3 linked regions of the Kluyveromyces lactis genome follow. The protein of the gene in region 2 interacts with the protein of the main gene of each other region in a biochemical or structural test. Links are inferred from orthologs where the notes say so. Each region holds a gene or a part of one and is shown on either strand. Other genes may lie near its edges.

Region 1 (3,241 bases), on a different chromosome or scaffold from region 2:
GAAGCAAGTAGAAATCATGTCAGAATTAACACATCCTACGATTGTTGACGGATGGTTCAGAGAAATCTCTGATACCATGTGGCCAGGTCAAGCCATGACTTTGCGTGTGGAAAAGATCTTACACCATGAAAAATCTAAGTACCAAGACGTTTTGGTTTTCAAGTCTACTGATTATGGTAACGTTTTGGTTTTGGATAACGCTATTCAAGTCACCGAGCGTGATGAGTTCTCATACCAGGAGATGATTGCCCATTTGGCATTAAACTCTCACCCAAACCCAAAGAAGGTTTTGGTTATCGGTGGTGGCGATGGCGGTGTCTTGAGAGAAATTGTCAAGCATGATTCCGTCCAAGAAGCTTGGTTATGTGACATTGACGAAGCTGTTATCAGAGTTTCCAAGGAGTACTTACCAGAGATGGCGAAGTCTTATTCCCATCCTAAGGTCAAGACTCATATCGGTGATGGATTCCAATTCTTGAGAGACTACCAAAACACTTTTGACGTTATCATCACTGACTCATCTGACCCGGAAGGTCCAGCCGCCTCTTTGTTCCAACAATCTTACTTCGAATTGTTGAACGGTGCCTTGACTGAGAAAGGTGTCATTTCCACTCAAGCTGAAAGTATGTGGATCCACTTGCCAATCATCAAGGAATTGAAGAAGGCTTGTAAGGAGGTCTTCCCAACTGTTGGTTATGCCTACACCACCATTCCAACTTATCCAACCGGTCAAATTGGTTTTATGGTGTGCTCTAAGGATGCCAATGTGGATGTCACTAAACCGTTGAGATCAATCTCAGAAGAAGAAGAAGAAGCCAAGTACCGTTACTACAACAAGAAAGTGCACGAAGCCTCTTTCGTACTACCTACTTGGGTCGCTAAAGAATTGGACCTGTGACAACTTAACGAATTGATAATCCCTCTTTTTTCTTTATGCGGTCTTGTAGATCGCTATTTCTATTTTATTCCTGACTTATCAACTATTAACGTTATCACTCATAGATTTAGGCTAGACTAATTAATTCTTCAGTCTACTATTAGGATCAATGTTCGTTTGACACAACATATTAATAAGTACTAGTGTAGCCATAGATACCGCCTTATTATCTATATAAATCTCAATCCTTTTTCTTCCTTTTCGGACATTTTTGATTCTTCTTCTCTTTGCATTAAGACATATCGAATGAATCTCTTACCTTAAAAACACCAATGCTTTGAACTCGAATAAACTCAATTGATAAGAAAAGGCAAATACGGATGAAGTTTATCATCAGTACATCTTCATTACAATGTCAAATTGCCGATATTCTGCCTTGCAATAACGGCAAAAAAGCTCAATTGATTTTTGCATTGATTCGTGCGTATGGTTTACTAGATTATTTTGATCATGTCAATGATGCTACGGTTGCAACAATAAAAGATATGACGAAGTTCCACACATTAGATTACGTGAAGCATCTATTGACAGAAGAATTTACTTACAATTCCACTGAATATATTGAGAAAGAAGACCAAGTACTTCGACTGGCTGAAGTTGCAAGGAAATTTTACCAAGACTCGGATGTTGAGGATGACAACCAGGTCTTGTGGTTCGATAATGAATATGAGCTGTTCCGGTATTTCAAAGAAGAATTCAACAACGCTAATAGTGAAATCGACGATGTTTCGAAGTTAGACGATAAGGATTTTACTAAGTACGGATTACAACATGATTGTCCTAAATTTCCGTTTCTTTCAATGTATCTTCAAGTAATAGTGGGTGGAACCCTCTCTTTATTACAACATATCGACCATCAGACACCATCAATTGCGATTAATTGGGATGGTGGAAGGCACCATGCGCTCAAACATTATGCTAGTGGATTCTGCTACGTAAATGACATCGTATTGTTAATTCAAAGTCTAAGACGTAAAGGTTGGAAGAGAGTAACATACATTGATTTTGATCTTCATTATGGTGATGGTGTCGCAAAAGCATTCAGATTCTCTGAGAACGTACAAACTATTTCTGTTCATTTATATGAACCGGGATTTTTCCCTGGAACCGGTTCTTTGGAAGAAACTAGAAACTCTAAACAGATGGTCAATTTACCGGTATTGCACGGCATGGATGATAAGTATTTGCTCGAGCTAATTTCAAGTGTCATCACTCCATTGATTGAGACATTTAATGCTGAGTGTATAGTTATCCAATGTGGATCAGATGGGTTAAGTGGTGATAAATACAACGAATGGCAGCTTTCAATCCGTGGACTGACGCACGCCATAATTTCGATCATGGATATGTTCAGGGACAAACAAGTATTTCTCCTGGGTGGTGGAGGGTACAACGAATTGCTTGTTTCAAGGTTTTACACATATCTAACATCCAAAGTCTTAGAACTTTACGGAAACAATATTTCTTCTTCTATTCCAGAAGACGATAGTGAAGTTTTATTACGAGATCATGAATTCATTGAGCTATACAAGGATGAGAATTATAGATATTGGTCCTACGACAATGACGGAGAACAAAAAACGAGTCTGCAAAATGACAATAAGAAACTCCACATTGAAGAGCTGAAGCAATTTTATCACTTATGAATAATCTTCAATTCAGACAACGCGGATTCCCAACTTTCATTCCATCTATTTTTGCTTTCTCTAAGGGCACCTCTTTTGATCTCCTGATGAACCTGTTCATCTTTCACCGAAAATATAAGAGCTTCATGCAACTCACGTCTATCTGCAAATTTCAACCCATTAACATTCTGTTGAACAAGTTCGTCCAATACGGGATAATTCATACAGATGACAGGTAACCCAGAACCGAACATATCAAGGATTTTCATAGGTAAATCAAGCCCCGAGCTTGAAGTATGTAACGATACCCCATAGTCACACAACCTTAATAGCTTAGGATAATCTTCTGATGATAGCCATAAGAATTCGACCTGGACGCGGTCCCATTTGAAATCCTGTACCTGTTTTACAATCTTTTCTTGCAATGGGCCCTTCCCAGTGATGAAACACAAGATTCGAGGCAAAGTCTGATCAAACTTTTGGAATGAATTTTCATATATCTTGAAGGATCCGATTAATACTGAGATATCTTCGTCCGGTGTGAAAGAGGTAGAAGTGACAAATATCTTATCCTTTGAAATATCAAATTCTTTCGGTATATATTTGGCGATGAATTCTTGTTTCAACAAAGCTTCACGGTCATCAGCTTCTTTCAACGGACTGAACTGTTTGCCCGGTC
Region 2 (4,342 bases):
GGAGCGTTTGCAGAACACATTGCCCTTTTGAATAAAGCCATTGAAGATAATAAACATGATATAGAAGTAATAACAGTTAAGACTGCTCCACAGCTTTCCTCCTGTGATTCTTTAATTATACCTGGTGGTGAATCTACGACAATCTCGCTAATTGCGAAAAGAACAGGACTTTTTGATTCCTTGATTGAATTCGTTCACGACCCCACTAAAACGGTGTGGGGGACCTGTGCTGGATTGATTTTTTTAGCTAAACAACTCAGCAATGAGTCGAGCTTGGTAAATTCGCTCGACCTGTTAAAGGTAAAGGTGAGAAGAAATGCGTTTGGTCGTCAGGCTGAATCGTTCATCGAAACATGTGACTTTTCTTCATTTATTCCTGATTGCACAGGTTTCCAAGTCTACTTCATTAGAGCCCCAATTATAGAAGAGATATTATCTCAGGATGATGTAGAGACATTGTACACTTTAAAAGATGGATCAATAGTGGCAGTCAGTCAACAAGGACGCATTCTAGGAACGTCTTTCCATCCAGAATTGTCCGATAATGATGCCAGATTCCACAACTATTTTATTCAGAAATTTGTTCTAAACAATTGATGCAAATAAATATCTATCGTTTGTATGTATTAAGTCTGAATAAACGCTGAATTCAGAACGAAATTCTTTTATCCAATTCGCCCCTTTGCGTCATTAATTATTCAATAATAAATGCGTTTAAGAAAAAAAGAAAAAATTGACACTGACGGGATTCGAACCCGTGTCACTCCCTCGCCTATGATCCTGAAGATCATTGTTATGGAAGGGGAGTATCCTAAACCACTAGACTACAGTGTCCAATGCCTGTTCAGTGTTGGAGCAGATTCTCAATATACCTTATTGTTGATGTGGCTGGTATTTCCAGTCACGTGCTGTTAAATTAAGATCTTTGGTATCTGATGAATCCATAGCGTTTATTAGCTATATATCCAGTAGTGTATGTTGATGCACCTGGGGATCTGGCATGACTGTATTGATGGTCCTTGTCCAGATCTAATGCCTCCTTATATAATAATTCAGATTAGTTAATGATATTTCATTCCGAAACACCCGTTATGTATCATCTTGATACTTAACCGCCTATTACATTGGTAGTTACCCGATCATAGTTTATGATCCATTTAAACACTTACATCGGAAAGCAGCTAACTTCGTATCAAGCCTTAGTAAAGACGAGCGTACATTGGATCCATTTAAATACTTTGAACATTTCGAAGAAGGAAGCTTACCGTTGCATTTAAGTTAGCATGTTAGGGTAACGAGTTGAAATTTGTTTATGTTATACACTGTCTATGAAACGCGTCCTTCTTTAATAAAAAAAAATGAATATCATAAACACATACAAAATTATACAAAACAAGTTAAGTTTACGCGTCCTGTATCAGAAAGCTCTAGGAATAAGAGTAATTACAAGGGCAAGAAGACAGACTACAACACTGTTGAAATGGTTCACATCAAAACTGTTATAATCAGTGGCTTCAAGACTTACAAGAATCGGACCGTGGTGGAGAATTTTTCACCCCATCACAATGTTGTTGTCGGTTCCAACGGTTCTGGTAAGTCGAACTTCTTTGCAGCTATTAGGTTCGTCTTAAGCGAAGAGAATTCAAACTTAAAACGTGAAGATAGGAAGGGTTTTATCTACCAAGGTGCAGGGCAAGTAATGAGTGCATTCGTTGAAATTATCTTTGATGATCCTGAGAACTTAATGCTTGCACCGTTAAGAAACGATACTGGAGAGGTCAGAATTAGAAGGACAGTGGGATTGAAGAAGGATGAATACATGATTAATGACAAGAACTCAACAAGACAAGACGTTAGAAGAGTTTTAGAAAATGTAGGATTTTCAACTTCGAATCCTTACAACATTGTTCCGCAAGGGCGAATAATATCCTTGACCAACGCGAAAGATTTAGAACGGCTGCATCTATTAGAGGACGTTGTAGGTGCAAAATCATTCGAAAACAAACTGAAAGAGTCTTTGAAAAAGATGGAGGCAGCAGAGAGAGATAGAACGAAAATCACTAATGAATTAAACGAACTTGACAAACGGTTGAGCGAATTGTCCGATGAAAAGGAAGAATTGGAAAAGTACAACAATCTAAATAGAGATCGAAAAGTTTTACAGTTTTGCTTATACGATAGGGAATTGAACGATATTACGAACCAAATTGAACAACTTGAAGGTGAGTACAATTCAATTATTGAAAATTCTTCTGAGTATGTTAACGAATTGGAAAAAAGAGAAGTGCTTGCAGTAGAGCTCAACAAGAGAATGAATTCTTTAGAAAGTGAGATTAAAATAAAACAGTCTACTGATCTACCACAGTTAAAGGCATCGAAGCTAGAAGTTGCTGGGGAATTGGCGGATTTAGACACTAGGTTAAACGATATTCAAATGCAATTGGATGCTTCACAAGCGCATTTGGAATCAAATGTCAAAGAAATCGGAGAAGTAAAGAAACAAATTGAGATTAACTGCTCGTCAATTGCCGAGGTACAACCAAAATTCCAAAAACTATCAAATGAAGCAGAAATCTTAAAAGTAGAAATCGAGAAACTCACAAAGAGGCAAAGAGAATTATTATCAAAAAAAGGGAAGTATGAAGATTTTCGTACGGTAAACGAAAGAAATGACTGGATCCAAGAACAAATTAACTTATTAAACCAGTCGCTGAATAAATCTAATATATTAAAAGATCAACTGACTAGCCAACTTAGTACACTACAGCATGATTTAGAGAATTTAAATGCTGAAATTGAAGACCTAGCCGATTCAGTAAATGGAATGGGATCTGTTGCTCAGCAGGAAGACTTGCAAAATAAAGTAACACAAGCCAAGAAGGAATATTTGACGAAAATCGATCAAAGAAAACAGCTATGGAGAACTGAACAAAGACTACAAACAATTTCCACCTCTCTCGATAATGATGTCAAAAGGTTTGAGTCAGATATGAATGAAACAATTGATCGTTCTTTAGCACTTGGTCTACAAAATGTCAATGACATTGTTAATAGGTTAAATTTACATGAGCATGTTTTTGGCCCTGTAGGCGAGTTGATAAAGGTAAGCGATAAATACAAAATATGTGCAGAAGTCGTGGGAGGCAACTCCCTTTTCAATGTTGTTGTTGACAATGAAGAGACCGCAAGTTTATTAATTAAGGAATTGTTTGCAACGAAAGGTGGAAGGGTAACATTTATTCCTCTCAATAAGTTGCATGTGGATACCAACTTTACGTATCCAAATAACTTGGAGAAAAATCAATGTACACCTCTAATCAAAAAGATCAAGTATGACGTGAAATTTGAGAAAGTGATCAAGCAGGTTTTTGGCCGAACTCTTGTCGTTAAATCCTTGATTGATGGTGCTTCCCTTGCCAAAGAATACAAACTAAATGCTATAACTTTAGACGGTGATCGTGCAGACAGTAAAGGTGTTTTATCTGGTGGTTACTTGGATCAGTACAAGAGTAATAGACTGGATACTTTACGAGACTTCAAACAATCGAAAAGAGAATATAAAAAAATTCAAGTAGAGCTTCAAGAGATTAAACAGGCGCTCCAGAGTATCGAACAGGAAATTGATGGCCTAAACAATGTTGTTAAGGATGCTGCAGCAGAGAGAGATGCGTATGAAGCAGGCATAGAAAAGGCTAGGAGTCAGTTGAAAGCAAAGCTGTCTCAGAAAATTACGATTGATGACTCTATAAAAGCTTTGAAGGCGAGACTAAACAAAATCGATACGGAGCTTGAACAATGTAGAGAACGTACAAATGCCTTTGCTGCGGATATATCTAAACCATTTGTTAATGAACTAGATGCAGATGAAAAAGCCGAGTTACTTGCTATATCCAATAGCATTCAAACGAAAGAAACGTCTTTGAATTTCAATTTGTCAACTTTGAATGAACTTTCTTCTAAGTTAGACGAGCTCAACGCTGAATTAAATTCAAAGCTACTTCCTAAGTTACATGAGCTGGAGCGAAAGCCCTCTTCTTCACACAGTTTACAAATCAGTCAGATCAACAACCAAATGGAACTTGTTCTGATGGAGAAACAAACTGTGACAAGGACAAAAGAACAAGTAGAATCTGAATTATCAGTACTAGACAGCAGTATCAAATCCCTTAGAGGAGAGAAAGCAACCCTTCAAAAGGATTTAGATAAAGCCAACTCACAACAACGATCACTAGTCAAAAGGATTACGAACTTTCAGAAGAATGCAGAAAAAGTTTTATTGAAAAAGTCAACTCTGAACTCAAGAAAGGAGGAATTGCAACAATTGATTAGGGAGGTAGGGCTA
Region 3 (2,960 bases), on a different chromosome or scaffold from region 2:
TAATACTTTCGAAATCGTAATCTTTGTCTGAATACTGTCTCGGTGCGATGGCACGTTCATCGAGATCAATTACTCTAACATCATGCTTGAATATTCCCAGTAGTTTGGATTCGATTTCTTTGGTGGTTTGCAAAGCACCAGCATAATGACCGCCAGCAATGTTGATAACTATACGATGCAACATTACTTTGCCTTAACTAATGATCAAAACAGTATTTGAAAGACCTGCTGTTCGCCGTGTTTGTATTCAACAGTTGTCTCCCTGGTCGTCTAAAAGTGCATATTTTTCTTTTATGACTTAATTCATCAATATCCCGAATGAACAATGATTAGGCGATTACTGCTTGAATAGTCGTGATAATAAATATTGAGGGTTGAAAACTGTAACGCAGCAATGGTCTAATCAAAAAATACGATCTCTCATAAAAGGAGCTGGGACTCTTGGCATACACATAGTAATTTTATGTACTGAGAAATTAATGCTGAAATGGCTTTTCAAAAAGTCAAAAAATTATGGACGAGTCCGGAGTCGAACCGAAGACCTCTCCCATGCTAAGGGAGCGCGCTACCAACTACGCCACACGCCCAATTAATATGTTATGTTGTGATATGGTTTGGATGATAGTTGATTGATTAATCGCCTGATGAGGGATCGTTGATATCAAACAATATAACGAATATAATATAATCTATTTAGCTAGATCGTTGAGTATATGCGTCCTTGCTCTTCTTTCTCTTGTTGCATCCAACCTCCCCAAGAGGTCGCAACATAGCTCAGCCTTTTATACTCGACTTATATACTCGGATGGTCGTCAGACTTCGTCATGGCAACTCATTGCCTCCATGCCCTTGTAGGTTTTGTGCAGCTACCGTCCTCCACGCGCACTCAAGACCATCACGTGACCGTCTATGATCCATCTAGGTCATCCCTCTGGATACCACAGGATCCATATGCCCAGTCACTGACGTCTTGGAACTCTGCCGTGTGCTGGCTAGCTCACATGACCTCTCGTCTGGCTTGTCTTAAGTCTATCTTACGACATGTTATAAGAATGTAGAACTAGTATACAGACTGTTGGAACTAGTCATAACGCATGACCGGGTAATACAAATATAATAGGCGGTTAATAATGGTTTTGTGTCACTGACACATAACAAAGTATATAAACCAGTACTCAGATCTAATCTACTAATTAGTAGGAATCAGATCTACAGACACCAGGTGCATCTAATTATTCTAGGAGATATATAGCTAATCAAGATGGATTCTTCTAATAAAGATCTGATAAGATCAAAGCCACGTGACATGTATAGTCACATACCACAACATGGTAACCATGTGACAAACTCCATTAGCTCTAAGGAAGAATACACGATTTTCTCGTAATTGGTTCCCTATTGCATAAACTGGATACACAGAGGCATATATGGTAAATGCAGCATCTCTTTGCTTACCGTTCTTACCAGTTTTCTCTCATGAACAATACCCTTGTTTCAACCTGAAATATAAATCGATCTACACTTTCTAACGTGTAATTATCAAAAGTAAAAACGCGTCAGTAAATTGCCACCAATCAAAGCTCTCCAATCAACCGTACATGTCCAAATATCGGTCACCAAAGACTAAAAAGTCTATTCAAGCCACGTTACAGTTTAAATCGACCCCAACTCTGGTAAAATGTCCGAAGTGTTCGATAACTTATAGCACTAATTCTCCTAGTGATCTGGTGCAGCACAAAAGATATCATGACTTACATTTAAATGGGAAAAGGTGGTCTCAGAGTTGGGGCGACATCATTAATAGAGTAGAGGCTCTTAAAACAGAGAAACAACTGAAATATTCAATGGTGTCTGAAAAGGATAAAAAAGTGATGTCCTTTCAACTCCCGTCCCAAACCTTATATGAAGAAGATGAGTACATTGTCATGATTTCTCCAAAGAAAGCTAACGAAGTGAAGGCTGCACTCGACTTGATGTCAATTGTAAATGAAGAATTAAATGCACCTCATGATGAGAATGCTTTTTGGTCTGAGGTGGATAAGTCCGGCAAATCACAAGGTAAAGCGTTTATCTACGTAAAGAAGAATAGAGCTGTTGGAGTTATTACAATCGAGTACATCGAGAATACCAACCGAGGTAAATGGATGGTATTGGACACCAAAGCCATAGTACCGAATGTAGTACCGGACGTCAAACTGGGAATATCGAGAATATGGGTATGTAGAAATCAAAGGCAACATGGCATTGCTACAAGACTACTAGAGGTCGCAAGGAAGAAATCAATATACGGATGTATTGTCAATAAATGGGAACTGGCATGGTCACAACCAAGCCAAAGCGGTAGCATATTGGCTAAAAGCTATAATGCTGCAAAACATCGCTCAGGAAAACTTTTAATACCGTGTTACATATGATACATATTAGTATGCAAGTAGATGAATAACGAAACGAATAAAAGAGAAGCATCCAACTGCATAGACGGTTGCAACCAAAGCGTGTAATTATGTGAAATTGATATGAAAGCTGATTTGGTTTCTACTTGCAAAACTGTAACCAACACAGGCAAAATATTCGTACAACGGTCAATCTCTATCTCTTACTCGACGATATCTTTCTGACCCCACTGGTGGTTCTTTTTCCGTTTGATGACGCCAGACGTCTGTTTTTAGGCAGAATTTGTCTCAATGCGTCTGTGTCTTCTATAGACGAGTTGTTAACTTGTCTTGTGTCATTTGGAGACGTTTTCATGCTATTATCAGTATTCATGGAATCATCTATGTCACTGTTATTATCGGTAATCTTGGCGGCAACCTGGTTTTCCTTCTTGTTGATGTCTTCGATTGTGTTGCCTCCATGTCCCTTTCTTGGTTGACCAGGAGATTGTTGAGGTACTGCGGTATGCGAGTTCTTTTGAAAGCCTATTGTTTTCTTTGATACAGACGGAGGAGTCATTGTATGAT

What was found.
Region 1: of the proteins of SMC3 (region 2) and HOS1, one has a biochemical effect on the other in vitro, tested with the Saccharomyces cerevisiae proteins (2 studies listed by BioGRID, with this or other methods). The link is inferred for Kluyveromyces lactis from reciprocal best matches to the Saccharomyces cerevisiae genes SMC3 and HOS1.
Region 3: of the proteins of SMC3 (region 2) and ECO1, one has a biochemical effect on the other in vitro, tested with the Saccharomyces cerevisiae proteins (3 studies listed by BioGRID). The link is inferred for Kluyveromyces lactis from reciprocal best matches to the Saccharomyces cerevisiae genes SMC3 and ECO1.

Annotation. Positions count from the first base shown.
Region 1 is NC_006038.1:821,372-824,612, forward strand, and holds HOS1 (histone deacetylase), read left to right. Parts: upstream 1-1,257; coding exon 1,258-2,583; downstream 2,584-3,241. Other genes in the region: SPE3 (spermidine synthase), read left to right, coding at 17-898; ALG1 (chitobiosyldiphosphodolichol beta-1,4 mannosyltransferase), read right to left, coding at 2,574-3,241. UniProt on the Saccharomyces cerevisiae protein: Responsible for the deacetylation of lysine residues on the N-terminal part of the core histones (H2A, H2B, H3 and H4). Histone deacetylation plays an important role in transcriptional regulation, cell cycle progression and developmental events.
Region 2 is NC_006037.1:22,837-27,178, reverse strand, and holds the start of SMC3 (cohesin subunit SMC3), read left to right. Parts: upstream 1-1,480; coding exon 1,481-4,342. Other genes in the region: KLLA0_A00352g (pyridoxal 5'-phosphate synthase subunit PdxT), read left to right, coding at 1-597. UniProt on the Saccharomyces cerevisiae protein: Involved in chromosome cohesion during cell cycle and in DNA repair. Central component of cohesin complex. The cohesin complex is required for the cohesion of sister chromatids after DNA replication.
Region 3 is NC_006038.1:586,045-589,004, reverse strand, and holds ECO1 (Eco1p), read left to right. Parts: upstream 1-1,598; coding exon 1,599-2,414; downstream 2,415-2,960. Other genes in the region: putative uridine kinase DAS2, read right to left, coding at 1-184; phosphoprotein phosphatase CDC14, read right to left, coding at 2,590-2,960. UniProt on the Saccharomyces cerevisiae protein: Required for establishment of sister chromatid cohesion during S phase but not for its further maintenance during G2 or M phases or for loading the cohesin complex onto DNA.